Diceros bicornis minor: one gene and its partners. The protein of the gene in region 3 interacts with the protein of the main gene of each other region in a pairwise test. Links are inferred from orthologs where the notes say so. Each region holds a gene or a part of one and is shown on either strand. Other genes may lie near its edges.

What was found. The genes of interacting proteins can lie anywhere in the genome.
Region 1: the proteins of TTC23 (region 3) and TRIM10 interact in binary tests that used the Homo sapiens proteins (3 or more experiments, as listed by UniProt). The two-hybrid records come from large-scale screens. The link is inferred for Diceros bicornis minor from reciprocal best matches to the Homo sapiens genes TTC23 and TRIM10.
Region 2: the proteins of TTC23 (region 3) and CREBZF interact in binary tests that used the Homo sapiens proteins (3 or more experiments, as listed by UniProt). The two-hybrid records come from large-scale screens. The link is inferred for Diceros bicornis minor from reciprocal best matches to the Homo sapiens genes TTC23 and CREBZF.

What each region holds. Positions count from the first base shown.
Region 1 is NC_080753.1:35,796,798-35,807,595, forward strand, and holds the start of TRIM10 (tripartite motif-containing protein 10), read left to right. Parts: upstream 1-6,733; coding exon 6,734-7,162; intron 7,163-8,392; coding exon 8,393-8,488; intron 8,489-9,072; coding exon 9,073-9,303; intron 9,304-10,046; coding exon 10,047-10,069; intron 10,070-10,398; coding exon 10,399-10,514; intron 10,515-10,798. Other genes in the region: E3 ubiquitin-protein ligase TRIM15, read right to left, coding at 376-398, 1,158-1,388, 2,463-2,558, 3,970-4,338. UniProt on the Homo sapiens protein: E3 ligase that plays an essential role in the differentiation and survival of terminal erythroid cells. May directly bind to PTEN and promote its ubiquitination, resulting in its proteasomal degradation and activation of hypertrophic signaling.
Region 2 is NC_080746.1:46,857,793-46,867,946, forward strand, and holds the start of CREBZF (CREB/ATF bZIP transcription factor), read left to right. Parts: upstream 1-6,089; 5' UTR 6,090-6,317; coding exon 6,318-7,381; coding exon of another isoform or gene 7,382-7,385; exon of another isoform or gene 7,386-7,592; coding exon 7,593-7,608; 3' UTR 7,609-8,822; exon of another isoform or gene 8,823-10,120; intron 10,121-10,154.
Region 3 is NC_080744.1:82,145,344-82,155,245, forward strand, and holds the start of TTC23 (tetratricopeptide repeat protein 23), read left to right. Parts: upstream 1-5,241; 5' UTR 5,242-5,432; intron 5,433-7,131; exon of another isoform or gene 7,132-7,536; intron 7,537-9,902. UniProt on the Homo sapiens protein: Participates positively in the ciliary Hedgehog (Hh) signaling.

The DNA of each region.
Region 1 (10,798 bases), on a different chromosome or scaffold from region 3:
ATTACATGTTAAATGGTGTTAAATACTGACTCAAGTACTAATAATTTCAGGGATTAAATAGATGTTATCAGATCAGCCTAAAAACATTATTATTTATAACTTCACTTCTAGGAAAAAAATGTGTCCCCCATACCAAACAATCAGTTTAAAAATGAACCTTTAGAACCCAAACTTTTAAGTTTGGGCTATTTATGTGTAAGTGAATGAGGCGGTCTGTCTGTCAGAGCGCTTTTGCTTTCCTGTGTGGCCATGTATAGGGGGAGGGGTAGTGAGCACCCCTCCCCTTTCAGTCTCCATGTCCAGTATAAAGGAGGCGAGAAGTATAAAGTGTGTACTCAAAGTGTAAAGGAGGTGGGACCGGGGCATGGACCCTACCTGCTCTGGTTGACTCTAACATCCTACAAAAGAAAAAGAACATGCACTTAGTTTCCACATGTCCTTCCCGTCAGAGACTCTGTACATCCTTTCTTCCTTAACATATGAGCTCAAAACTCTCCTCCTCCAGGAAGTTGTATCTATTTAATTACCTACTCATCAGACTGTTCTTTTACATCACGCTTTCTTACTAATTTGGGACTCCATAGTCAGTTCATTTGAGCTGGTTTCTCTGTCTCAGCCTTATCCTGGGGGTGTGTTCTGCCTCCAACGATTAAGGGATGGTGGAGAGCAGGGACCAGGCCTTAAGTTGTTAGCTGGACCTGATGTGAAACAGGATAATATAATGATAATCACAACTGGCACCATTTATTGTCTTCTTCCTGTGAGACAGGGCCCATGCTAAGCATTTTGCATGGATTGTTTCTTATAATCTTTGCAACAACCCTATGAGAGAGGTGCTATTATTATCCTCATGTTTAGGGAGGTTACAAGACTTGCCAAGGTCACACAGCTGAAGAGCCGGCACTCAAACCCAAGACCGTCTGACTCCAAAGCCCTTGACAAGACCACAGTGCGTGGGCAAGCCACCCAGCCTTTCTGGGTCTGCATCTCCATAACCTCCCTGCGCCAAAGGAACCCAATAACTGTTCGTCCCTCCCATTAAAAATAACCTCTGCTTCCCTTTCCTGCCTCTCTCCAGCATCTTCCAGCCCCCAGCAGGGTGTCCCCTTCCTGTAGAATCCCCCTCCCATCTCACGAGGTGGTGGATTGTCTCTCACTTGTAGAAGCTCACTTGCTGGCTGCTGACACTTCTCCTCCAGCTCCTTGACCTGGGCCCCAAGCCGGGCCACCTCCTCAGAGACCTTTGAGATGTACTCGTCCCTCTCCTTCCAGATCTGCCGCTCCAACTCCCTCAGCCTGGCCAGCAGGAGACATTGCTGTTCCCCCAGCTCCTGCTGCAACCTCTCGAAAGCTGCTTCCACCTGCTGTTTCTTGCTTTCAATCTGAGTCTGCGAGTGGTGGAAAGACAAATGTGGTTAGGGAAAAGCTCACAGAGCTGGCTTCCAGGAGGATCATCTATATACTTACCATTGATTAAGAAGGATAGGAGGTAACTAGTTCCAAACTCTTTCTCCCAGATAATACTCTGGTAGAAGTAGGTAGGTCTCAGAATAAACTTATCAATGATGAGGGCTATGCTCTTGTCTTACCTAGAGATTCTAATAATAATGCCACATTAGGTTCTCAGAGCCATGTTGAACTTTTTAAACATCCTTCACATCTCTGATATCATCCTAACCCTACCAATCCTTCCCTAGAGTCAGGTGGAGGTGATTATAGTCATGTCTTAGCAATTGAAGAGAAAGTAAGCTGTGATTAGAGTCAGCACAACTTATTGGAAGAGTGCGTAGCATTGGTCTTAGCCACTGAAGTCGCCACCTACAGGGCATACTTGGATGGGAGTTGAGGAATACTGGAGAGACCTTCCCGTCCCAAAACTCTGCCGCTTTGGTCAAGGTACCAGAAATTCCCACACTGTGGATTTCTTCCTGGATAACTTTGTAGCATGAAAAAAGAGATGGGAAGGAGCCAGATATAGCCACACCATTAGCCTACTGTCCTCGGAGTCAGCCTTGGGGTCAGGACTGGAATGCAGACACTAATATATGCCTTCTGGACCCAAGCTTCCCATCTGTAGGCCACAATTTCAGGCAGACAGGCTGGAATGGGAAGAGCAATGGACTAAGGGTCAAGAGACCCAGGTTCTAGCCATTTCATCGTGATCCTGGGCTTTGCCATGTGGCCTTGGGAGCATCACTTTCCTGGACCTCAATTTTCTGCTCTGTAAACAAAATGGCTGACAAGATGGATCTGAGATTAGAAGACGTCAGAACAACTTTCGGCTCTGATGGTCTGGCATTTCACAACCTTGACTCCAAATGCCCGTGTGCAGAGGCAGGGAAGTGAATGATAACAGCTTGCTGGTTCTTTCCAGCCAGGCAACAGATACCACACAAGAAGCTTTCCCAGAGTCTATTAAGAATACCCCCAAAGGAGATGGTGGCCAACGACATGGTCTTTACCAGGAGCACATGGAGCTTCTGGTCTTCCCGACTCTTTTTGTCCTCAATCTCATCTCTCTCCACGCTCAGAGCTTCCAGCCGACTCCTGAGACGATCCTATGGGGAGAAGAACGGGCAGAGAGAGGTGACTTCATTCATAATTCAACTCACAGATATCAATTGTCTACCATGTTCCAGGCACACTGTTGAGTGCTGAGGAATTCAAAGGTGAAAAAGGTGCAGTTCTTGTCCCTAAAGAGATCATCATTTAGGGAAGAGGTTTGTCACAAGTGATTAAAATACAAATAGACAAATGCAATAATCGAAGTGGGCACACAGTGAGATGGGAGCACAGAGGAGCAGACAATTCTGCCTGTAGGGTCAAGGGAAGGTTTTAGAAATCAGAAAATATTTGGAGTGGGCCTTCAAAGGTAAATTTCCAGCTGAGTAAGAGAGGGGGAGGACGGTACTTAATGCCCCTGAACTTAAAAATTATTAAAATATTTAAAAAGAGAGAGAGTGAGGGGGGAGAGTGGCATTCTAGGAGGAAGGAACCACATGTGAAAAGTATTAGAAGCAGGAAAGAGTAAAACAATTCAGAAGACAGCCAGTCCATAGGGGTCAGTCTGGCTGGACACATGGTGCCTTGGGGAGGACAGCTGAGAGATGAGATTGGACGGGAAGGCAAGATCCCAACTGCAAACTACTGTAAATGCCTTGTTAAAGATATTGAACTTTCTTTGGGTGCTAGAGATCCTTGGAAGGATAGTAAGCAGGGGAACATCATGATTGGCTTTGTGTTTTAGGAAGATCTACCTCGTAGCAGAATGGCTGGTGGTTGGAAAGGTGAGAGTGGACACAGGGAAAACGTTAGAGATCATGCAAAGTCTGAGTGACAGATGGTGAGAACCTGGATTTGGCAGTGGCTGTGGGGACAATGCAGAGTTAAAAATTTGAGAGATGCTTCTGAGGAAACCACTTCCAGACTTGGTGACTGGATGACAAGAGAGAGATCTGAGAGGCAGACAGGAATGGATAATGTCTCCTAGACCAGATAGGCTAAGCCGCACCTCCCTTTTTCAAAAAGAAGAACAGCACTTGCAGGTTGCCCTTCCCGTCCCTCTCTTCCCTCTGAGCCCCAGAGGTCAGGGCTTTGGTAAATCCCATATCCAGTCTGGATACTGGGAGACCAAGTTCACCCAGCCCATAACCTGCAGCAGATCCTACTCTGCACTGGGGCTCTCTTTCCTTCCACAGACAGTGAAGCCATGGCCACGGTTCTTTGTGCTCCATCACTGTGGGGCCCCTTGAGGGCTGGAGCTAAATTTCCCCCTAAGACTGTGAATGACCACACGGCTTAGTGGAACTGTGTCCCCCTCAGTCTGGGGCTGTCTCCAGTGTCGCTGCAGCCTTGGGGTACCCTGATATGGAAGCTGTGGCCCTTCACCCAGGTCCCCACCCCCTTCCTTCACCACGACAGGACACTGTCCCACCCTAAACATGTCCTAGCTAGAGCCACACTTCTTACCCGGTAGGGCTGAATGGCCTCGTCGAGGAAGCCCACGGTGTGGGCCTGGTGAGAGGGACCCTCACGGCAGAACACACAGAGTAGCTCAGCATCGTTCTCACAGAAGAAGTAAATCTTCTCGCCATGCTCCTCGCAGTAAGTCTCCCCCAGAGGGCCCAGGGGCACTGGGACCATGACAGTCTCTGCTCGCTCCTTCTCCTTGCAGAGGGGACAGAGCAGAACCCTGCCGGAAGGCTGGGCTCCCATCTGGGAGGGCAGGGCGAGGCACAGCCGGCAGAAGGTGTGTCCACAGGTGGCCGTCACTGCATTCTCCAGGGATCCCTTGCAGGCAGGACAAGAGACCCTCTCATGGGAGGGGGTTGAGGGCATCACGGTGCCTTCCCCAGCTGGTCCACTCAGGCCTCTGTCTCAGGCCACATGAATTCTCTTTCCCTGAAATTGAGTCACTTTTACATGAGTCACAGAAGGAAAGCAATAGGAGATCAAGAGAGAGGAAGCAGGAATGTCCGGACAGGGAAGCCACCTGGCTCCACCTCTTGTGCTTCCCCGGAGTCCTGGCCACCACCCATCAGTAGAGCGGGTGCAAACTCCAGGGCTTCTCAAATTACCCAGCATTTCCCAGTAGTGGCCTTGTCAGCCTGTTCTCCACTCCTTCTGACTCCTTCTGACTCCTTCCAGTCCCTGGGGTGGGGAGCAGAGCATGCCGTGAGGTCACAGGGAGACAGGGCTTCCTGGAATCCCTCCCTTGACCACAGTGGGGTGGGGAGAGCTGGGTAGGATATGTGTCTTCCTGTTCAATTGAGCAGGTGGGAGCCATAAACTTCTGGCTTTGAGGTGTGACCACAGTGACAAAGTCCAGGCTGGAGTGGGCAGTGACTGACTTCCGGCAGACTGTTCCGGGGGACCTGCACTGCAGGTCCACCGTGGGATGATTGCTCGTGAGACTCCCTCCTCTGCCCTCCTTTCCTTGCCTCACCTCATCTGCCCAGGCTGGTGTCTCCTAAACTCTGAACTCCCGCCACCCCCCAGCGCCAGTGTCCCCACTGGAGTTTGGATAATGTACCATGATGCAAATGATTCATGTGGATAAACAAAATTTAGAAAACTCAGCCAAGAAGATAAACAGACTCAACCACATTTATCTAAGGCTGAGTATTCTCATATTATGACATCCAATCTGATAACAGCCTTTGAGGCAGGTATGACTACCTTCATTTTACAGAGAAAGAATCATAAACTGAAAGGTAAAGTGACTTCCCCAGGTCACAGAGCTAGAAAGCCGCAGGTTTGGGTCAATCCAAGGTTGCCGGCTTCCAGCCTATGCTCTTCCCGAACTCCAAGCCAAGACAATGATCAAATAGCCACGATTCTTCATCCACTCACCTGCATCTGTGGATAAGACCAAGGAGAAACTCCCATTCTCTCACCGAAGGATCAGCCCTGCACCCGTTTTCCCTCCCCTTTCACTTCAACTAATTTGTCTATCACCTTCCCTTGCCACACTATCTGCCCCCGACCCAAGAGTGCATCCCCTGGGGCTACGCTGTCCAACACAGGGGCCTCCAGCCACATGTGGCTGCTGAGCATTGAGACGTGGCCAGTCCCCACCGAGACGTGCTGCCTGTGTAAAATACACCCCAGATTTCAAAGACTTAGCACCAATGAAAAAGAATGTAAATGCCTCATTACTAATTTTTTATACTGATTACACACCGAAATAATCATCTTTGGGCCTAAATAAAATATTAAAATTATTTTCACTTTTTACTTTTTAAAATACGGCTACTAGGAAATTTTAAATTGCATATGTGGCTTGCATTATATTTCTCTTGGACAGCACAGCTCTAAGACAAACAGATCTGAGCGCAGATTATGACCACCCCCTTCCTACCTTGTACCCTGGGCAAGTTAAATAACCTGGCTGAGCCTAGCTAATATCCTAATGCACCGACGTTATGCAGCAGACAGGAGGAATAAATAAGATCACATGTTTAAGTTTCTTACATCAGTGTGAGGAATACAGTCATCATAAACAAGAGTGAGCTGTTGCTATTTTTCTTTCTCCTCCCCCACACAGAGTATATTCCAGCCTCTTTGGAAGCCTTGGGCAGGCCGGTTGGGGCATGAAGTGAAGTTGACTGTGCCATGCTCCCTGGGCACAACCACCTTATCTGGGTCCCCACACTTCCCTGGGCTGGCTGATATCTCCAATCTCCCTGGAGACAGCTGGTGATAGTGCAGGGAGGCTGAGTGGCATCACTGCTCTGTGACCCAGTCTCCCTCCTGCCCCTGAAGGAAGAACGACCTCGTTCAACTGTGGACAGTTAAGATACCACCACTTTCCTTCTGCTGTGAGTGTCTCTGGACGGACTGGAAGGAACGGTGAGCCCCAGGCCATGGGCACCAATGGAAGAGTAGCTGAGGTCATCTCTGAGATGCTGTGGCCCTGCTTTCTTCCTTGCCTACTTCCCCTCCTCTGCTATTTCTCCATCTCTGCTGTTGGAGGGTGTGTGTCTGTCCCTTTGGGAGGAGAACAGCAGAACTACGGCCGCCAGAGAAGCAAGTGGGAGCCATGCCCTTGCGCATGTGTGAGTGTGTGTGTATGACTATGAGGTTGTTGGTGTGTATTTAGGATGTGCCTGTGTCCAGCTGCGTGTACATGTAGGTGTGTGAGTGTGTGATGTGTCTTCACTGTTCTTCCAGCCCTTCTCCCTCAGCCAAGCAGACTGGGTGACCTTGAGGAGGCCACAGGCACAGCAGCACCATGGCCTCGGCCGCCTCTGTGAGTAGCCTGGCAGACGAGGTCAACTGCCCCATCTGCCAAGGCACCCTGAGGGAACCGGTCACCATCGACTGTGGCCACAACTTCTGCCACAGCTGCCTCATCCGCTACCTTGAGATCCCTGCCCCAGAGGCTGACGAGCCCACCACCTGCCCACTCTGCAAGGAGCCTTTCCGCCCAGGGAGCTTCCGACCCAACTGGCAGCTGGCCAGCGTGGTGGAGAACATCGAGCGCCTCAAGCTGGTGTCCATGCCAGGCTCCGAAGAGGAGGACGTCTGCCAGGAGCACGGGGAGAAATTCTACTTCTTCTGCGAGGATGATGAGATGCAGCTGTGCGTGGTGTGCCGGGAGGCGTGGGAGCACCGAGGCCACACCGTGCGCTTCCTGGAGGATGCAGCAGATCCCTACCGGGTAGGAAAGGGGGGTTCCCAGGGTGGGTCTGGGAATGAACCAGACTAAAAGAATCAGAGCAGAGTTGTGGATGATTTGGCCCACTCTGAAGCCAAATTCTGTCTCCCTACTTCTATCATCACCCAGGCAATAGACCCAAGCATGGAAGATTATGTGTTTGTGTTTTAAGCATTGTGTTATGTTGTTTACATATGACCAACACATAATAAGCACTCAATAAATACTTGTTGAACGAATGAGTGACCAAAACATGAGTGTATGTGTCTGTGCAATGGATCAGTCAGGTATATCTGAGGAGGTCTGAGTTTGTATTTGAGGGAATGATTGCACAAGTGGTGTGTATATGTATTAATGTTTGTATGTTTGCCAGTGTGTGCTGGTACACACTGGAACCTTTGGTAGAACTTTGGGGGAGGTCTGACTATTTGAGTGTGTAAATGTAACCATTGGAATGCTCGTGTTTGTGAATAAATTACCATTTACATATATGCAGTTTGGGTAGATTTATATGGTGTGTAATTTTATCTGTCATTAAATGAGTGTGTGCTGGTTTTAGTTGTTTATGTGTTGTGTTTTAGTACAAGTGGGTGTCTATGTGTATGTGTCAATTAGTTAACAAGCATTTGATGGTGAGAGTTCTAAATGTATTTTGGAATGTACCTAAATGGACATTTATGTGAGTATACCTGTGCCTAACTCTATTCTAGAGCAAGCAACTTTTAAAACAATTCATTGATTATTTTTGCATTTTCCAAGTTTCTTCTTCCCTCCAGAATCATACATAGAAAATTGATTCAATTCACAAGGGAAAGTTGTTTGGATGTGTTCCCTTTGGGACATGTGAGAAAGTTGGAATAATTTCAAACAAGGGCCTCTGAAGCTCAGGACAGATCCCAGATATCACTTACCAAAGGCAAAAGAAATTAGGATGTTTAACTGAAGAAAGGAAGGCTCAGGTGGGAACATTGAGTCACAGCCTGTGATGGCACAGGATAAAGGGGGAAAGCACTGATCAGAGTTCTTGGAGGACAAAGCAAAGGAACAAGACCCAAAGAGAATAAGCTGTCAAGGGTGATTAAGGCCCAGGGAGTGACTCCTTCCCTTGGGTAATTCCATTTCTGGAGGCAGAGGGTTGGATGAGACGCCACCCCCTGACAAATCATTGTTTCCATCTTAAATATTTTATGCTCCTTCTCCACTTTATGCTCCTTTTACTCTCCTTCTCTCCAGAAACAGATACAGAAGTGTCTTGAGAGTCTAAGAAAAGAGAGAGAGGAGATTCAACGAATCCAGTCAAGGGAAAATGAAAGAATACAAGTCCTCCTGGTAGGTCATCATCCCTTCCCTGTGCACCCTCTTCTTCAGGTCCAGGGCTTCCCTGAAACAGAGGCAACATAGCACATAGGACTTTGAAGTCATTCTGAGTTTAAATCCTGACTGACACTCAACTAGCTCTATGACCTCAAGCAACTCTCTATCCTCAGTTTATTTATCTGTAAAGTGGAGATTAAAAATCGTCACTACCTCACTGAATTGCTATAAGGATTGAATGAGACGGTGCCTGCCATGTAGCTTAGTGCCATGCACATAGTGTGCATTTCATAAAAGGCAGGAGCTAGGGTGTCACCACCACCTCTCCTACACCTCCTCTGAGCCCCACCCTTTTAGAAACTCCAGCAGAAGGTGCCGAGGCAAGGCTGGGCGGTCTAGCTCCCAGAAATGGCATGACAGGTGGAAAGGAAACCGTGCTGCGTTTCTAAGTCTGTCTGGGGACCCAGGGGGGTTGGGCGGGGGGCTCTGATTTTACCACCAGACCTTGGAAGATCTGGGCCAGGAGGGAGATGGGCATGAACTAAGGAAAAAGGAAGAGGAGAAGGAGGAGGAGGAATAACTTCCTCTCACCCCCTCAGACTCAGGTGGCCACCAAGAGACAAAAAGTGATTTCCGAGTTTGCACATCTGAGCCAGTTCCTGGAGGAACAGCAGAACATTCTCTTGGCCCAGCTGGAGACGCTGGATGAGGACATCTTGAAGCAACGGGATGAGTTTGACATCCTGATCACCGGGGAGATCTGCCGGTTTAGCACTCTGATCACAGAACTGGAGGAAAAGAAAGAGAGGCCGGCAAGGGAGCTCCTGACGGTGAGACCTGAGCTACTGCCCACCTGTGCTCGCCTCTATTTTACTGCGTCTCTATCTAGTCTAACCCATGCCTCCTTCACTCACACATCTCTGTATCCCAAGTGGAAGCTGAGTCACAGGACAGAAGTTCTAAATTCTTGTCCTCGCTTCCTCAAGAGTCCACTGGTCACTTTGCTCCCTGGTCTTGGTCTCTCTGTGCCACCATCCATCAAATAGGGAATACTTTCCTTAACTACCTCACAGGGATTTTGTGAGGATCCTACAGTAAGATGGAAGTGAAAGTAGCACTTTGAAAAGCCTCATGTACTATGCAAACAAATGTCAGGTGCTATTTCCAAGGTGAGCTATTCTCTGTGTCATCATCCACCAGTCAGGAAGCTGTTCCTGGTCTATTTCACTTCCTCACACTGGAGGAGAGATATTGGGGTCCCAACAAGGCATCAGGAAGGCAGCGTGATTCAGGGGAACACAGTCAGGGCTGAGAAATAGGAGACCATGGGATGGGACTAGCCTTTGCCTCCAGCTAGCAGGAGCAGGTCACTTCACATCTGAGTCTATAAAATAAAGGGGTTGGGCTCCACGATCCCTGAAGCCTTGTAAACCCTAAAACTCTGTGACTGTAGGATCTGGTGTCCTTCTTCTATCCAGAGCTAGGAATATGATATTTTGTCTTTTCTAGTTATAAGAAAAGTGGGATGGGGAAGGTGGAAACTGAATCACTGCTCTCTCTCTCTTTCTTCTAGGATATCAGAAGCACTCTAATAAGGTAAGTGATACGCTTTTTCACTTCTCTTTTCCCACATACATGCACCACATGCCTAGTTGTTGCCATGCAAATATACAACATTCTCATTTTATTAAAGATAAAAATTCACACATAAGCTTTCACATACTTGAATGCATTCCCTTGTACAGCTGTAGACACACTCCTGCATAGCGTTGCCCAGGAGTGGGCAGGGAGGTCCATCCTAGAGCAAGTCTGTCTGCCTGTGGGAACTGGCATCTCCTTGCCCAGTGAGAAGAAGGCAGCTAGCTGGGTCTGGAGGCATTGCTGAGGAGGATAATTCCCCGACCCTACCATTTGTGTGTCCCTAGGTGTGAAACCAGAAAGTGCCGGAAACCAGAGGCTGTGTCCCCTGAGCTGGGCCAGAGGATTCGGGACTTCCCCCAGCAGGCCCTTCCGCTGCAGAGGGAGATGAAGGTGTTTCTGGGTAAGAGGACCCCACAGGGCACAGGTGGTCTTGAAGCGTGGGTTTAGGAACGGCCTCCATGCTAGGCTGCCCGATGCTCGTGTGACTTTTGGCAAGGCTTGTACCCTTCCCGTGCCTTGGTTTCCTTATTTGCAGATCTTTATAAAATCTACTTATCAGGATGATGTGACAATGAAGAGAGATAGTAAAGGTGAAGATTTCTGGAAAAAAATTGAGCTGATTTGAAAAATAAGTAAATAAATAAATCTGATCAGTTGGCATTAAGCAATATAAAAGATAATGAT
Region 2 (10,154 bases), on a different chromosome or scaffold from region 3:
AGTATAGAGGGATTCAGTATACTCTTCTCTACTTCTGTGTATGATTGCAAATTTTCAGTGTTTAAAAAATTAAAATTAAAAAAGGGCTGAGGTTTCTGAAGGAGGGAGGAAGAGAAATGATTTGGAATTGGCAATGGGAAGCAAGAGCAGCTCAGCCAAGTTCTGGCTCTGCAGTGCCTGGGGGGGAGAAATGAGACAACTTCCACTTGAGAAGTGGAGTTCTTCCTATCAGAACATGAAAAGCTCTGCTCCTACCCTTCCGAATTTCTAACACCCAACCTTCTTCTGCTGTCCCTTCCTCTACCAAAGCAGCAATTCTCAACTTTAGTGGCAGCAACTGTGGGGCTGGATTAGTTGGAAGGCATACCAGTAACCTGTTACTATCTTAGTTGGTTACAAATGTTTGTCATTTTAACATAAAATGAATCAGATTCCAAAATAGTCCACAACAGTATAACTCTCATTCATTTGCATTCAGGAATATATTCTTGAGAGGAGGATAAAGGAACAGAAATACAGCTAGCACTACTGGGAATTGCACATAATCCATGCAAATATGTAGTGCTCATAAACATAATCCTACAGTACCCTAGATACTGTCAATCCCTTGAGTCTTCAGTTTTCACCCAGGCATAAGATCCCCTCATGGTCTTAACTTCCTACCCTCTACAGATTATACATCGTGAGCGAACAGGCAAACTACGTTAAAATGAGCACTCTGGCCTCTGTAGCACTCTTATCATTCTGCTGTATCCACTCAGTAAAACACCAACCCTGATTCAGCTGCATTCCCTACCATCTTGGCTCCAGCTCTCTGCTATAGAAAATTCAATAAATGTATATATTGGTGTTGAAGTACCATAAAGTCATAGTCTTTGTGGAGGATTTGATAGGTTGGTACTCATCATCTATTCAATCCTTCTTTTAATGTGCTTTCCAGTATTGCAGAAATGGAAAACCTAAAACAAAAGAAACACAAAAGCAAACTATATTTGCCAGACTCTTCTGCAGTTATATTTGGAAGATGCAAACGAGGCAGGGGCCCACTCCCTCTGCTTTGGCTGTTGTTGCTGCCAAGCACATTCTTGGAGACATCGGGTTTTTCTGCAACAGCATCCCAATATTCATTGACTAGTTTTATGGGATATGGTAGCCAGCCCCCAAGATAGCACCTAACGATTCTTGTCTCCTAGTATTCACATCTTGTGTAGTCCCCTTTCACAGTGAGTAAGGTCTGACTGGTGTGACTGATAGAATACTATAGAAGTGATCGTATGTGACTTCTGAGGCTAGGTCATAAAAGACATTGCTGCTGCTTCCTTGGCCTCTTGGATCATTCATTCTGGGGGAAGCCAGCCAATGGGGGAAGCCAGTATAGACATTCACACAGCCTATGGAGAGGCCCACATGGAGTGGGGAATAGAGGCTTCCCCCAGGACTAACCTGTCAGCCACCTTGGAAGTGGATCCTGTAGCCCCAGTCAAGCCTTCAGATAACTGCAGCCCCAGCCAAAATCTGACTTAATTCCATGAGAATTCCAGAGCCAGACTGCATTGCCAAGGCACTTAAAATTTCTGACCAACAGAAACTTTGAGAGATAATAAATTTTTATTGTCATTTTAAGCCACAACAGTAAGCAAATATTTATTGTTGTTTTAAGGTTTTGGGTAACTTATGAGGCAGCAATAGATAATTAATACATGGGGTTGAGAGTTTGGGCAGCAGCAGTGCTCTTGAAGCCAACATTCCAGCTTTCTATTTTACCACTTTCCCATTTGGGGCAGAGATAGCAGCTCCCTACGAGGCCTGTTTGGCCATGTTGCACTGAGAAGCATTCTTGATCACCCAGCCTAATGTCCACTCCTCCAATCCTTCCAATGACTTTGTAAGCACATATTCTCTGTCTTACATCTTTTTATGCTTTAAATAGCTAAATTGGTTTCTGTTCCCTGCAGTTGAGCTTAATCTAATAAAAATACCCATCTCAAATCAACAGCTAGACACTAGAGGCATTTCTGTTAAAGTCAGGAATAAGACAAGCAAGTTGGCTATCAAGGGTATTATTTAACATCAATCTGGAAGTGCTATTTCATTATTAGTCAAGATAGTGAAATAAGAATTGCAGAGAAGGAGGCAAAATTGTCATCATATATTATAAGGTGATATAATTGTCTACCAGGAAAATCTCAATGAATAAGCTGAAAATAAAAACTAGTAAGAAAGTGCAGTGGGGTAATCAGTTAAAAATTAACAAAAAAGATCAACAGTTTTCCTATGTAGCAGCAAAAGTCATTTAGAAAATATAAAGAAGAAATAATCTAGTCCAGTAGCAAAAAATGCATAAAATAACTGGGAAAAATAAATTAATAAGTTTAATGCAATTTCCATGAAAACTCCAGCTTTGTTTTGAACTTGGAAAATTTTTATAAAGTTATCTGGAAGAATAAATATTTAAATATAGGTAGAAAATTCTGATAAAGTAAGACTAACAAAGAAGGACTTGTCCTATGAGATATTAAAATATATTATAAAATTGCAATAAAAATGGAGTGATTTTGCTTCCAGAATGGTTAGACTGATCAACAAAGTAGAAGAAAAAGACCAGAAATAGATCCAACTATACGTAAGAATTTAATATATGGCATACATGTTAGGAAATCAGTGGGGCAGGTATGGATCGTCCGATAAATTGCATTGTGGCAGATAAGTTTTTGAAAAATTATATTCATATGTCACATTTTATAAGAGAATAAATTCCATTTGGATCTAATTGAAATAAGTAATCACTCATGTTGTTAAAAACTCTTAGTAAAATATAAATAGAAGTAGTTAAAGAAGTTCTAAAACATATAGGTCAACATTAGTATTATTTAGGCCAATACACTCTTTTTAGGCTTAACACCAGAGCCAGAAACCATGAAGAAAATTTTGAAGATTGACTATTTAAAAATTATAGCAAAAGAAGCAATTTCACTCCTTCCCTCTCCCAATAAATGATCAACAGGGGAAAATATTGGAACATATATGACACAAAGGTATGTTTTCCTTATAATGCAAAGAGTTCATATAAATCAAGAAGGAAAAAGACAAATTTTCCTTGACAAACATTTTCTTCCACTTCAAAGAAAAACAGGCTCAAGAGGTGAGAAGGCTATTCACATTGGAAGTCAATTGGTCATGTGAAAAACACTCAAACTTCTAATAATCAATGCAAATTCACACAAAAAGATGCCACTATTTATTTATTTGTTTATTTTATTTATTTTTTCCCCCAAAGCCCCAGTAGATAGTTGTATGTCATAGCCGCACATCCTTCTAGTTGCTGTATGTGGAACGCGGCCTCAGCATGGCCAGAGAAGCAGTGCGTCGCTGCGTGCCAGGGATCCGAACCCGGGCTGCCAGCAGCGGAGCACACGCACTTAACCGCTAAGCCACGGGCCCGGCCCACCACTATTTATTTTTGCATTGACACATTTTAAAAAGAATGAATCCACTGTCACTGAGTGGGTAGGAACTAAATACTGTCAGATACCATTAATGAGAGATACCTTTCTGTAGGTAATAATGGTCTATGTACAAAAATTGTATCCAGAAATTCTACTTTGAAGAATTTATGCTAAGGAAGTTATAGGATAAGTGACCAAAGATGTTTGTACAACATTATCATGTGGATTATAATAGTGAAAAATTCAACACAACCTAAGTGTTATCAATGAGGAACTGGTTGAATAAAAGTTAGGAAGTTCATGAAATGGAATTCTAGACAGTCATCAAATATTAGTATGTGGATCTATATTTAGTTGCATGCAAAATGCACACAATATATGCATACCAAAACAGTAGAGTTCAAAGAAATAAAATAAATCGGTGTGTCTGTACATAGAAAAACTTTTTATATTATACACCAAAATTTTAATAACAGTTATTTTGGGGTAGAGTGTGGGTAATATCCTTCTATCCATTTCTGCATTATGTGAATCTTTTGCAATGACCATTATAACAAGAAAAAGAAAAAACAGCTGTGAAGGAGAGAGCGAGAAGACTGAGGAGAAGAAAAGGGAGAAAGGGCAAAGAGGGGGGGAGCTATTTTGGGTAGGTTTACTCTTGTTTCACTTGCTTTTTTTTCTGAGGCTACCTGGTAAAAACTTCCTTCTCTTTCAGTTTTCAACTTTTCTGTTAATCCAACCACAGAGGCTCTTAAGCCATGTATAGTCAAATCAAAATCTTGTAATCTAGGAAAAAAATGTAATAAATCAGTCCATGATCTTGAATTTTGCCTAAGGAGAAAATGCAGTTTGATGGGATTACCAGCCACACAAAACACCTGCAACTCAACACAGGCCACACTGATCACATTGAACTGTGTACTGTTCTACTTTAGCAAAACTTTTCCTAATGGGAAAGTCAAGCACGACATGGAGGTTATTTATTTATTCTTCTAGATACCATAGGACATACTTATATTTGCCTCTTGCATAATTGTTTTCATTTAGCTGAGTTTTAGTGTTATGCCTTCAGCCAAAACTGGAGACCTTCTTCATTCACTCATTCAACAAATATTTATTGAAGCCTAAGCTGTACTTACCTACTGTTCTGGATATTTGGGACCTAATCTGTGTCCAGCTTTCCCGGAACTTGCTTTCTAAAGAAACAGCCCTATGACAATATCTATTGTTGAGGCTATCTGCTACTTTATTCAGTATCCCATAGAGAAGTTTTTTTAAGATAAGAACTGGAAAAGTAGTCAAAGAATTCATATATACTTTACTCATGAGCAAACAAAGGAAAGTTTGTTTCTCTCTGTTGTTTGGCCTGCCAGGAAGCTCAGTCTATCGTTAGCTCAACTTGAGTAACTGTGTAATATTTTATGTCCATCCTATTCCAATACTAACCTCTCTCCCTTTGGGAACTCCTTATCTTCCTATTTCATCTATATTTTCACTGGCCTTGCTTTTTAAAACTTCGAATTGTTTTGTTTCACTGTATTCTAATGTATTTGTAAAGTGGTTCAAATTTCAAATACCTCGTGGGATTAGAGGAACAAGATAACACCATGAGGAAACAGACAAATCCAGAATGTGGTGCATTTTTCAACACAAATGACCTTGTCTCTTCAAAAAGCCAATATTAAGGAAAACTAAAAAGTGAAAGGGACTACTCTAGTTTGAGAAATGGGGGAGAAAACCCACAAAAACATAACCAAATGCAGTAAGTGACACTTGATTGGATCCTGGCTCAAAAGACAATATTCCCTATGAAAGATTATTTTGAGGAAAGCTGAGGAAATTTGAATATAGCATGGGTTATAGATATTAGCGAATGATTGTTAATTTTCTCAAGGCCTGATAATAGTATTATGATTATGAAAGAGAATGTGCTTATTTTTAGAGAAGCATACTGAAGTATGTTGGGGTGGTGTGTGTTGTCTGTAACTTTGGGATGATTCAGCAAAAAAAAAAAATATATATATATATTTTACAAACATTTATATACAGATAAAGCACATATGGCAAAATGTTAATTGTTGAATTGTGGAGCCTGAGCATTGGCTAGTATTGTTGAATTAGAATGGATACCGTACTATTCTTTCACATATTCTGTATGTTCGGAAATTTTTATAAGGAAAACTTGGAAATATTAAATTATGTATCAATGACTTATTTACCTCTCTTTTCTTTTAGTATTCTGTAAGTGTTTGAATGAAAAGGTACTGTATTATAACGGAAGGGAAAAGGAGCAATTTTAAGCGGGATCTGATCGCTAGTCTTATATCCCAGAGAAATCCAGGATAACGTTAAGACTATTCATAAATTTGGTATCTAAAAGATCAATTCTGAGCGAGAGTGGTTTCACTAAAAGTGGAAGCCAGAATAGAGAGTTGAGAAGTTAGAGCTGAGAGGGTAGGCCACTCATTAAACCTGGGATTTGTTGTTATTTTTGCCGCTGTTACTATGACATCACTGGAGACCTGGAATCACTCCCACTTCAGATCTTCCTAACTCTCGCGATACCAGCGCCTGGTGGCGCGCGAAACGCCATAGGAGGGGCTGGGGCGAGATCGACCGACTTCCGGCCAGGCCGTTGTCTGGGTGGCGCGGCCGAGTCATCTCTTGGCTTCGCCGCTCGGATCTCCCATCCCTCCCCCCGCCCCGGCGCGGGGGGTCGACCAGCCAAGAGGGGCGGGAGGCGACTCGGACCCTCCTCTTCATTTCGTTCTGGCCAGCTCCCCGGCTACCCGCGCTGGGGCCTGGGGTCCTCGGGGCCCGCGAGGCCCGGTCTGAGAGGCCGGGGCCTACGTGGGCCCGCTGCTGGGCCCCATGAGGCATAGCCTGACCAAACTGCTGGCGGCCTCGGGCAGCGATTCCCTCACCCGCAGCGAGAGCCCGGCGCCGGCCGCGACCTGCTCGCTGCCCCCGGACTTGACCCGGGCGGCAGCGGCGGCGGAGGAGGAAGAGACGGCGGCGGCCGGATCTCCCGGCCGCAGGCAGCCGCGCGGCGACGAGGCCGAGTTGGAGGCCGGGAGGGGGAGCCGCGGCGGCGTGGCCGTGCGCGCGCCCTCGCCCGAGGAGATGGAGGAGGAGGCGATCGCCGGCGTCCCCGGGGAGGAGACGGAGGACATGGACTTTCTGTCCGGGCTGGAACTGGCGGATCTGCTGGACCCCCGGCAACCGGACTGGCACCTGGAGCCCGGGCTCAGCTCTCCCGGGCCTCTCTCTTCGTCCGGCGGAGGCTCGGATAGCGGCGGCCTGTGGAGAGGGGACGACGACGACGAGGCCGCGGCTGCCGAGATGCAGCGCTTTTCTGACCTGCTGCAGAGGCTGTTAAACGGGATCGGAGGCTGCAGCAGCAGCAGTGACAGTGGCAGCGGTGAAAAGAGGCGGAGAAAGTCCCCAGGAGGCGGCGGCGGCAGCAGCGGCAACGACAACAACCAGGCGGCGACAAAGAGTCCCCGGAAGGCGGCGGCGGCTGCTGCCCGTCTTAATCGGCTGAAGAAGAAGGAGTACGTGATGGGGCTGGAGAGTCGAGTCCGGGGTCTGGCAGCCGAGAACCAGGAGCTGCGGGCCGAGAATCGGGAGCTGGGCAAGCGCGTCCAGGCACTGCAGGAGGAGAGTCGCTACCTACGGGCCGTCTTAGCCAACGAGACCGGACTGGCTCGCTTGCTGAGCCGGCTGAGCGGCGTGGGACTGCGGCTGACCACCTCGCTCTTCAGAGACTCGCCCGCCGGTGACCATGACTACGCTCTGCCGGTGGGAAAGCAGCAGCAGGACCTGCTGGAAGAGGACGACTCGGCGGGAGGAGTGTGTCTTCATGTGGACAAGGATAAGGTGTCGGTGGAGTTCTGCTCGGCGTGCGCCCGGAAGGCGTCGTCTTCTCTTAAAATGTAGGGTCAAGTAATCTGCTCTTTATCCGCGTTTACCCCTTTCAACTCCCTTACACCATGTAAAACACCTTAGTGGGACATCTTCACTGGACACATTTCAGAGGAGGAAAAAAAAGTAATATTGAATCTTTAAGTGTTTAGCTAAAAGCATGAATGTGACACTGTAACCAACTCCTAATGATAACATGTGACTATTAAATCTCTCTGACAGTTTCTTTTTTAGGTGATTTCCTTCCTGCCAGGCTCCGTTGTAGGGGTTACAGAACAGTCGTTCCCGCCTCACAACCTGGTAAGGATCCATCTCTTCACGTAACGCTCATGCTCTGCTGCTTAGTCTACTTTAATGGGCAACATCTCAATTTGTGTGTGTGTGGTTTTTTTTTTTTTTTCTTTTTTGGAAGGTGGGAGGGAGATCTAATTTGGGCCCTGTCCACCCTGGAAACAGACTTGTGCTGGTCAATAATGTATTTAAGATGCTTCTTCTGGTTAAAATAGCTGTTAATGTGTCCCCTTGTTCAGACTTGCGTGTACCTAGCTCTTCTGTCCCCAGTGTGGACATGGCCTTGGATGACATCGGTTCCAACTGTACACTGAAAGCTGCTAATAGAGATACAGTTTGGAGACAGTGACACAGGTGAAGTTGAATGGAAGTTCCGAGTTGTACAAGGTGCAAATTGGAATTCCAATTTTAGAGCAACTTTTCAGAGGTTGACAATAAGTATTTGGGGCATGCGCAAATGTGATAGTTTTGCTGGAGATGACAAAAATCTCTTAAATATTCAAGAATGCCTTTTAGTTTTCAGTAGAAAATCTAGAAATACAATCTATTCAGATTAACAGATTGTAATATCTCACCATTAGAGAAATTGGAAATTAATATGCATATCAGATTCCTGTGTTAGTTAATTGAAGGAGGAATAAGAATGGTTAATGAAATGTTTCTCTGAGGACCAGCACAGTGATTACCCTATCACTGAGTATGAATAAATTGTTGAACACCTTTATTTTTGTTGTATTAAAATTTTAGGTTAAATTTATGTATGATTAGATATTGAAGGTTGTGAAATGTGAATGAAAACGTGTAAAGTGAGGCTTCACAAAGAATCTTATTCTCCATATTTCAAAGGTATTTGTTCTATTTAAAAATAATTTTAAAAATTGAGTGGTTCTGGCTACTTAATGACACGATGGACACTTTTTCCAAACATGGGACATATTCTCCCCTTGAAGTACTCTATTATCTATTGTCCAGTTGTATAAATTGAGTTACGGTGTCCTTCAGTGTAACAGGCATTAAGAAATTCTTTGTGAAACATCACTGTTTGATAAAGTATATACGTATTTAGCATCCTTGTTTTTCTTTGTGCTAAAGTGGATACAGCTGTTGGGGCAGAAGAGACGGGACCAGCTGCTGGCCACATTTCCTGCTTTATTTTAAAAGGTAGTATAAGAAATGAGGAAAAAGAGGTAATATCAGGGCTTCTGCTGTCTTTTATTTTAAAATGTCCATAATAAGTATTTTCCAGCAGTCCAAAGATGTAAGTTATCTTACACATAAAATGTTTTATTTTGTTGTTATTTGGTTATGAAAATGGAATCCTTGTTCTTGCACAACTGTAAATGTTTTGTTGCTAGATAATACGATTTGAGACCTAACTTGGTCTCTGGTTTCCAGTGCATCACAGTGTATTTTGTAAAATCATCTGCACTTGAGCATGAATGGGTAGTAGCCAAACTCACAACCTGGAGTGATGAACCTGCTTATACCTAAGTGCAGGAGCAAGCCCCTCACAATGCAGCTGCATGGATTTTTAGTGCCTACTGAATTATATATATATATATATATATATATAAACCAAAAGTAGTTGGAAAAATTATTTGAAATGACTAATTTGTGCTATCTTTATGGAATATGTTAAATGTAGCTTTTTGAAACAGAAGCCTTGAATTGAAATTTAATTAATACTTGAACATTTTGTATATATTTCTTTGTATATAATTTTGTGCAGTACCAATGAAAAAATACGGTGTCATAATAAAACCAGGTTTGTTGATCTTTCAGTTATGGGCTCAAAGAATTTATTCATCTCTAACATGACATTGGAAAATAATGGATGACAATAGGAAAAATGATTGTTGTTAATGCTGACTGTGGGTCTTAAAAGGTTCTGGAAGCAGTAAGTGCGTTTTTCTAACAATTATACCATTCCCTTGGAATATTTCCTTCCTAATGTCAATGCTTTTCCTGCATTATTTGAAGTTTGGGGCTGGGGAGAAACAGTAGTCAGAGCTTTCTGAATTGGGATGCTTTGAAATTCCAAGTGTAGATTTTTAGAATGTCATTTTATAAATGGCAGTTTTTGGAAATACTTGATTAAGAACTTTTGAAAATGGAGATTAGTATCGCCTATTTTTAAAGCTGCTTTGTTAGGTTCCTTATGTTTTAACTGTCTTCTTAGTTTCCATATCATTCTCTTTTTTTTCTAATTTTTGGTGACTTAGTGATTTTGTCATTTTTTACATCAACTTCATGGTCTTGTTTTTACATGGTATTGCATGTATTTAGGATCTTTCTAACAGGGGCTTTAAATAAATTTGGTCATATTTATGTGTAAGCACATTTTACTGTAAACGTTTGAGTTTCTGAATTTACAACAGATCTGTTTATTTCAGTATGTAGTAAACTATACCTTAAAAGTGTCCTATTCACTACTTGCTAATTAAAAAAGTTATGATTAATATGAAACTGTTGTCTTACTATTTTTAGAAAATT
Region 3 (9,902 bases):
ACAATGGATACCACAAAATACTATAGGCCAACAAATTGGACAATCTAGAAGAAATGGATAAATTCTTAGACTCATACAACCTCCCCAAACCGAATAAAGAAGAAAGAGAGAATCTGAATAGACCAATCACAAGTAAAGAGATTGAAACAGTAATCAAAAACCTTCCAAAAAATGAAAGGCCAGGACTAGATGGCTTCTGTGGAGAATTTTACCAAACATTTAAAGAAGATTTAATACCTAACCTTCTCAAACTATTCCAAAAAATAGAAGAAGATGAGACACTTTCTAACACATCCTATGAGGCCAACATCACCCTAATACCAAAGCCAGACAAAGACAATACAACGAAGGAAAATTACAGGCCAATATCGCTAATGAACACAGATGCAAAAATCCTCAACAAAATATTGGCAAACCGAATACAGCAATACATTAAAAAGATCATACACCATGATCTAGTGGGATGTATACCAGGTACACAGGGATGGTTCAACATCCACAAATCAATCAATGTGATACACCACATTAACAAAACGAGAACTAAAAACCACATGATCATCTCAATAGATGCAGAGAAAGCATTTGACAAGATCCAACATCCATTTATGATAAAAACTCTCAACAAAACAGGTACAGAAAGTACCTCAACATAATAAAGGCCATATATGACAAACCCACAGCCAACATCACACCCAACGGGGAAAAACTGAAAGCCATCCCTCTGAGAACAGGAACAAGACAAGGGTGCCCACTTGCAACACTTTTATTCAACATAGTACTGGAGGTTTTGGCCAGAGCAATGAGGCAAGAAGAAGGAATACAAAGAATCCAAATAGCAACAAAGAAGTGAAACTCTCACTGTTTGCAGACGACATGATTTTATATACAGAAAACCCTAAAGAATCCATCAGAAAACTACTAGAAATAATCAACAACTACAGCAAAGTTGCAGGGTACAAAATCAACTTACAAAAATCAGTTGCATTTCTATACTCTAATAACAAACTAACAGAAAGAGAACTCAAGAATACAATCCCATTTATAATCGCAACAAAAAGAATAAAATATCTAGGAATAAACTTAACCAAGGAGGTGAAAGACCTATACAATGAAAATGGTAAGATATTATTAAAAGAAATCAATGATGACATAAAGAAATGGAAAGATATTCCATGCACATGGATTGGAAGAATAAATATAGTTAAAATGTCCATACTATCTAAAGCAATCTACAAATTCAATGCAATCCTAATCAGAATCCCAATGACATTCTTCACGGAAATAGAACAAAGAATACTAAAATTCATATGTGGCAATAAAAGACCCCGAATAGCTAAAACAATCTTGAGAAAAAAGAACAAAGCTGGAGACATCACAATCCCTGACTTCAAAGTACACTACAAAGCTGTGATAATTACAACAGCATGGTACCGGTACAAAAACAGACACACAGATCAATGGAACAGAATTGAAAGCCCAGAAATAAAACCACACATCTACACACAGCTAATCTTCAACAAAGGAGCTAAGAATATACAATGGAGAAAGGAAAGTCTCTTCAATAAATGGTGTTGGGAAAACTGGACAGCCACACACAAAAGAATGAAAGTAGACCATTTTCTTTCACCAGACACAAAAACTAACTCAAAATGGATCAAAGACTTGAAGACCTGAAACTATAAAACTCCTAGAAGAAAATATAAGCAGTACACTCTGACATTGGTCATAGAAGGATCTTTTTGAATTCCATGTCTATTTGGACAATGGAAACAAAAGATAAACAAGTGGGACTTCATCAGACTAAAGAGCTTCTGCAGGGCAAAGGAAACCAGAATCAAAATGAAAAGACAACCCACCAGCTGGGAGAAAATATTTGCAAATCATATATCCAACAAGCGGTTAATCTCCATAATATATAAAGAACTCACACAACTGAACAACAACAATAACAAAAAAACCCAATCAAAAAATGGGCAGAGGATGTGAACAGACATTTTTCCAAGAAAGATATACAGATGGCCAATAGGCACATGAAAAGATGCTCAACATCACTAATCATCAGGGAAATACAAATCAACACTACACTAAGATATCACTTTACACCTGTTAGAATGGCTATAATTACCAAGACAAAAAATAACAAACGTTGGAGAGGCTGTGGAGGAAAGGGAACCCTCATTCACTGCTGGTGGGAATGGAAACTAGTGCAGCCTCTATGGAAAACAGTAGGGAGATTCCTCAAAAAATTAAAAATAGAAATACCTTATGATCCAGCTATCCCACTACTGGGTATCTATCCAAAGAACCTGAAATCAACAATCCAAAGAGGCTTATGCACCCCTCTGTTCATTGCAGCATTATTCACTACAGCCAAGAAGTGCAAGCAATCCAAGTGTCCGTCGACAGATGATTGAATAAAGAAGATGTGGGGGGCCAGCCCTGTGGCTTAGCGGTTAAGTGCACGCGCTCCGCTACTGGCGGCCCGGGTTGGGATCCCGGGCGCGCACCAACGCACTGCTTCTCCGGCCATGCTAAGGCCGCGTCCCACATACAGCAACTAGAAGGATGTGCAACTATGACATACAACTATCTGCTGGAGCTTTGGGGGAAAAAAAGAGGAGGACTGGCAGTGGATGTTAGCTCAGAGCCAGTCTTACTCAGCCAAAAGAGGAGGATTAGCATGGATGTTAGCTCAGGGCTGATCTTCCTCACAAAAAAAAAAAAAAAAAAAAAGATGTGGTATATACATACAATGGAATACTACTCAGCCAGAAAAAAAGACAAAAATAGTCCCATTTGCAACAACATGGATGGACCTGGCAGGTATTATGCTAAGTGAAATAAGCCAGACAGAGAAAGACAAACACCATATGATTTCACTCATATGTGGAAGATAAACTTAACACACAGAGAGAACAGTTTGGTGGTTACCAGGGGGAAGAGGGTTAGGAGTGGGCAGAAGGGGTGAAGGGACGCATTTATATGGCGACTGACAAACAATAATGTATAACTAAAATTTCACAATGTTATCAACTATTATGACGTCAACAACAAAAAAAATGTAAATCCAATTATGTCTCCTTCTCTCTCAGGTAAACTCGCTCCCTAGTGCACACACATCCTACTAAATAAACCCTTTAAAAGCCTTTTAGAAAATCAAACTCTTAACCAGGACTTCAGGGGTCCTCACTATCTGTCCCCACCTATTTCTCCAACCGTATCTGACAGCACACTCCCCGGCTTCTCACCAAGCTCCTGGGCTTTTCTAGCCCTTGACAGTGTGAAAGTCTTCACAGCACTTGGCGCTCTCCTTAACCTGGAAAGCACTGTCCCATCACCTTGCAGGTTTCAAGGTAAAAATCACTTCCCTATCCCAAACTAAAGTATTCTCCTGTTATTCTTTCAGAGAAACCCAATTGTTTTTCTTTGTAGGACTCCTCACAGTTTGTAATCTATATATTTATTGGTATATCTGTCTATTGTCAATCTAGCCAAGCGACTGTAAACTCCTGAGGGCAGAGATTCTGCTGTTTTCTTCACTCATGTAAACCAGCCTCTGCTGCAGTATCTAGCACAAAGCGGGTCCTCAAACACCTGGTGAATGGATGAAAGGAGGACACGTGAGTAATACTGCAAGAGAGATTTTTTCATTCTGTGATCTAAGGTCGGCTTGTAGATGCTACATACTGAGTGCTTATTATGTGCCAAAGATCCCTAATCCTTCCAACTCTGCATTGCAATAGACGTTATTTGGCCAATTTCATAGATGAGGCAACTGAGTTTCTCAGGAAAAACCTGCCAGAATTCCTACCCAGGTGGACGGACTCCAAAGCCTGTGCACTGCCCTACAATGTAGCCTTTCCCAGCCCTTCAATGGGGCCTGTGCTTCTTCCTAGTATCATTTAAGTGGCAGGCAAGCTTATAAATTTAAGACTACAAAGCAAAACTATACCCAAAACCCATCCTCACTGATGGGAGATCCAGTAAGAGAATTCAGTGTAACCTGATGGCTTTCCCTCTGAATTCGGATGGCTGAAATTAGCTGCCTTTAAAATATCATGACACCATGTTAAAATGCATCTTGCTACAAACACTATTTGGGAGATAAAAACTACAAAATGAAATCTGAAAGCTGCCAATAATAAATAATGCTAATGGTTTTCCAATATGCATTCATTGGCAATCTACAGCCTGTACCAGGATAATTTTCTTACACAAATTCCCTTCTCTACCTCTTATCTACAGTTAAAAGTAAATGGTATACTTAATATTAACTGTATATAAATGCACTTCCACAATCGTTTTCTGACAGGTAAAGACCAATCCACTTTATTATTATTTAAAACAAACAGACCCTTCCATCTTAAGAACATCCCACACATTTTAAGCAGGACTGTTTTAAAGGAAAGGAGTCTCTTAAACTGACTTTAGTATTTAATTCAGTAGAATATCCACTCCAATTTCCTAATATTGGAAATTAGAGAATTAAAAACTGTATATTAAAAGCATTTGGTATTAAAAGCATTTGTAAAAGGTTATTTTCTCAGTGCTAAGAAGCGCTGGCAGAAGTCTTAGGCAAAACACATGCCCTTTCGCCCGAGTTAGCTGAGCACTCCGGTCGCTACAGTTTGGAAGCAGGGAGCCCAGTGGCCAGGATTTCAAAGACCAGATATCGGGATTCTCCAGTACCGGAGGGCGAAGAGGGCCCGGCAGCTGTGGCGACCCGAGGCCCAGACGGGCCCGCTCAGGCCGAAGCCCACTCGCCGCGACACGGACGCTTTGGCCACACTCGACCAGGGGGCCGGGGACGGGCCATGGGGCCTTGCCACGTGAGCCACCCGACGCCACGGACGGCCGCACTCACCTCGGCGCCAGCGGAGCCAGCGCTCCGGAGCGCAGGTGGCGCTGGACGGCGAGCCCAGGGACGGCGGGCGGGGCGGGGCGCCGGGCGGGGGGCGGGGCGAGGCGCGGGTGGCTAGGAGCGGGGCGGGGCGGAAGCCTTGGAGAGGGAGACGGAACCTCGCGATAATTCTCCCTTGTTCTCGCAGTTTCACGATAGGTCGGACAAGAGGCTCGTTTTCCAAGACATGTCCCTATTGGCCGAGAGCAAGGCTTCCTCCAGACGGGCTCCGCCCATCGCTCGACCCTTGCTTCCGGCTGTGGTTGGGAGCTTGCTGTGTGGAAAATCGCCTTCTGCATAGTCTTTTGAGGGGATGATTTAGCCGGCCCCAACCTCAGAAACCGCCAGCACCTGATGTGTTTTTTCATTCATACGTTCGTTCAGGCACTCGTGCTCTCATTGGTCTCGGTTAAAGCATATGTTGAGGGATTACAATGGCAATAACACCCGAGCGCTTATTGTGTACCAGGCAGCGTTCTAAGAGCTGTGCATAGATTATCTCATTTAACCCTCACGCAATCCCGTGACACAGGTACTGTTATTATACCTTTTTGCCGGATGAAAAACTGAGGCCCAGTGGGTTTATGTAATGTGGCCAAGGTTGGTTAGTACGTAGCCTAAGCACAGGATTTAAGGGCTCACTGCGCGCTGATAGGGTTCCACAGCTGAGGCGGTGACAAAGTCTCTTGCTCTTGAAATACCTAAGGTCAATTGTGAGAAACGATCACTGAAAAGGGCAATAACAACTTAGTAAGTTAAATATTATGGCAGTTAATAGCCTGACTGAGTAGGACGTCAATATTTCCTGAGGATGAAAATTCCTTAGTCAGCGGAAAGAGACGTCAAAGGAAGAGAGCTTTATGCTGGTAAAAAGAAAAAAATACCAAGCATTGTTAGGGAACATTTAAAAAGCCAAACTTATTTTTTAAATACCTTGTTGGTTAATATGGCAACTTTCTTTCTCAAGTGAAGTTTGTTTATATTAATTTTCTCTCATGAAACTGCTGTTATTTATTGTTCTTTGAAAAGCTTGATTAATTTATTAACGGTTCACTGTCAAGCAACCTTAACTTTATAACTAGTTTCGCGTTGGTTTATTTAATTACTGTTAGAGATGAATAACCTAAAAGGCAGAGTTATACTAAATAAAAATAACGCCTATTCCAAAACAGGGTATGAGTTATAACGAAATACTTACCAATTACCTATTTATTAAACCTGGTCTTCAGAAGTTGATGTATATGGCATGGCATATGTCATGTAGTTCTAGGACCTTTGGTACAGGTTTCTAAATACCTAAGAATTTGTATTACTTAGAAATTTTTTGCTAGACGTAAAATGAGGAGACCTGTAGTTTGTAAAGAACTTTCTATACAGTTTGTAAAGAAAAATCTTTAGGGTATTAAGAATCAAGCCAAATAATAAGACTTGCTCCTAATATTGAAGAGTCACAAAAAAAGGATTAACAATAGAACAATACTTTTTTTAAAGTAATGTTAGCCTCTTAGTTTTCATTTCTTAAAAAAAGAAATATTTTAATGCATTAATTAACATCCGATATTTGATCATGAAAAATGAAGCATACTAGGGACGGCTCCGTGGCGTAGTGGTTAATATCGCGCATTCCGCTTGGCGGCCCCAGGTTCGGGGTTCGCAGGTTCTGATCCCCCCGCGCAGCGAGGCACCGCTTGTCAAGCCATGCTGTGGCGGTGTCCCATACAAAGTAGAGGAAGATGGGCACAGATGTTAGCCCAGGGCCAGTCTTTCTCAGTGAAAAGAGGAGGATTGGCAAGGGATGTTAGCTCAGGGCTAATCTTCCTCATACACACAAAAAAAGAATCATACTAAAATAACTTACACCCCCTGAAACTGACATACAGTAGCCAAGTGATTCTGTTAGTATAGTATCCTATGACCACTCTTAAAAATTCTCTAAATTTGTCTAGTGTCAATTTTCACATTTTGCCTCACTCAAAACAAGGCGGAGGGGATTCTCTCATTTAAGCTAGTGATTTTGCGATCTTGGACAAACTTGAACATCAACAGGCAGCGATACCACTTTAAGAAAATTCCAAGGAAAAGACAACCCCATTTTAAAATTCCCACCCCTGGCTCCCAAGGATTGGGTTACAAACTTCTACAAAAGACTCTTCTCCACTCCCTATTGGTGCATGCTCTATCATTCATTCTTCTGCCTGGAGTTTTGTGAGGTACCTGGTTGCTTTACGGGAAAAGGCTGCTCTAATTTAGTCTGGAACTGCCCTACTTGAGACTTTTTCATAGTTATCGATCTGTACAAAGAATCACCAAACTGCTAAGGGAACCAATACTGGCAAATCAGGCTGCCGAGACAACTGTGTAATTCGCTCGAAAAAGAAACGGAGAACTTCTCAAGCATACAGGGTAAATTTTTGACACGGATTTTACGACACGGAGATATGAGAGTTAAGGAAACTTTTCCAATTTTTCGCTAGTTTTAAAGGAGTAAGTGTCAAAGGAAAACCAGATAAAATAAGGGCACAATCTAAGAGTGGCAGGAAGACGAGTTTTCAGAGGGTGTTTTTCTTTTTAGGGTGAAGTTGGAAGAACATTATTGTTGGATTAGCAGTGGATTTTTGAATGGTAAAGGGAACAAGGTAATAAGATTAATTATAGATTATTTTATATTCTAAGAAGCTGTGGTTTGTTCTTGCTTTAATATGCATTTAAAGGGACACAGTAATGTTATTTGTAATTATCAAGTGGTGGATATTTTTGTTTACATATTATCATACCTAGCATAATAGACAATCCATCTATTAAAAGATATAAGAGAAAATTAGAATCATCTTTGGATCCAAATTTTGTGTATATTTTTAGATTAGGAGATCCAGGGACAGATCTGCTAATGACCAAGCGAAACATAATGTTGGTATATGAAGCAGAATCAGTAGGTAATTAATGTAAGGATAAATTTTCAAAAATGAAATCCTGCATTTATATTTTCAAAAAGATATTTTCATTAAAACTAAAATATAAAAGTTAAGGAAAATATTGATAAACAAGAATAACATATATTAAAACTTATATTTGAAATAGCAACATAATATTTTTTTAGGATCCAGACCAATATATAATTCCAAAATATAACATCTTAAGGATTCTTCAAACATTAATTCAATTAATAAATATAATACCTAGTGGCACATGTATACCTCTACAAGGCCTAACCCATAGTGGGTATACAATAAATATTTCTTAAGGGGCCTCTGTTAATCCATGTTTGTGGATATAAAATAATAAAATACAGTCTCTCAAGAAGCTCATACTCTAACTGGGAGAATGAGACTCAAAACATTTAAATGAAAACTTTTGGACAGTTCTTAATGCATACATGACCGTTACAGATCATACGTGCTTCAGGTGCTCAGATCAGTGTGAGCTGAAATAGAGAGAACTTCACAGCAGGGTTCAGACCCAATTTGGGCCTGAGCAATGGGCAAAGTTTCAGTAGATAGAAAAGAAGGGAAGTGGCATCCCAGGTAGTGGGTGAGTTGTTAGCAAATATGTGCAGCCTAGAGAATAATTGGCTCTGACTGCAGCAGAAGGTTGATTTGGGGACTTTAGTTTAAAAAAAAGCATGAAAAGTCACATGAAAAGTCAAAATTGCCAGAATTAGGGAGTTTGGTGCTGGGTTTTGAACAGGAGGGAGACCTCATGCAAGTAGTATTTAAAAAAGATAAAACTGACGCAGTTTGAGATGGCTCCAAGAGCAGAGACTGGAAGCTAGCTAAGGGGCTAAATAGTGATAACTAATAACTACAAATAATGGAGTACATATTGGTAGTAGCCTCTTAAGACATTTTATCCTAATAACTTTACTTTCGCCTAGTTGAATAACATCAATCTTGATGCATTTCTTTCTATTCTTTTAAAGCATTGAGCTTATTTTTTTGTTTAGCACTACAAATACAAATTTTATTAGATGTGGCAGTGTTATGGTGCAATTAAAACAGTAAAAGTGATTGTTGTTCACATCGCATCAGTCCTTGCTCCTTTTCCCTCCGAATTTCATTGTGTTTCTTCGTTCTATTTAACTGAATTGAAGGAATTTCAACGATAATAACAAAAAACCCTTATGAGGGAAGAATGCCATGGGAGGATGGAAGATGTTCTTGCCCAGACTGTAGGCTTTCACCTGACCTGTTTCTCTGAGACAAAACTCAGTTCCATACACTCAGTGAGCTGCTACCATGTGCCGGATACTATCCTCAGTGTTGGGCAAACAAAGGTGAATCAGGACCATCTCCCAAAAAAAGCAAAGTGATTCAGGGATACCAAGCAGGGTGTCTCTAGCTTCAAAACTTGCTTCAAAGAATCTGAAGCTCATCTAGCCTAAATTGTTGATCAGTGGTTCTTAATTAGGTAGATGGAGAAGGAGGAATCTCTGGCTGTGGAAAAGAACTCTGAAACAAGGCTCCCTGATGTGGTAGATCGCAATGCTCACCAAATAATTCCATTTACTCCCCTGGATACCTAGCCCTCTTTGCAGTTAGGGGAGCAAATGAAATGTTAGCAGAAGTGACTTGTGTCACTTCTGGGCAATGGCATCCACAGTTTTCCAATCTCTATTAGTCCACTATGACTCTTGTTTATGTATAGTTAAACCTTGGTCAGCCTGGGTCTCTGAGAGACTGTGGGTCAGACATTCCCACTCCCCACCCCCATCTCCAACCCCTCTCCTAAACCCTTGGGTCTGTAGTGTGTAGGAGCTGGTGTCTTACCTCATTACAGCCTCTTCAATCCTGACCACCTCAACTGTTAACAGCCTTTCCCCTGGGGATATTGGTATTTCATTTATTTAAGATTTCTTAAGTTAAAAAAAAAAACACCCTAGTCAACTGAGTTGCATGTATCAGGTTGATGAGACGTTTGGGGGAAAATTACACTATAAAGATGGTTTAATTGCTCATCCAGTAAACATTTATTGAGGCCTACTAGGTGCCAGGCGCTAATGCCATGT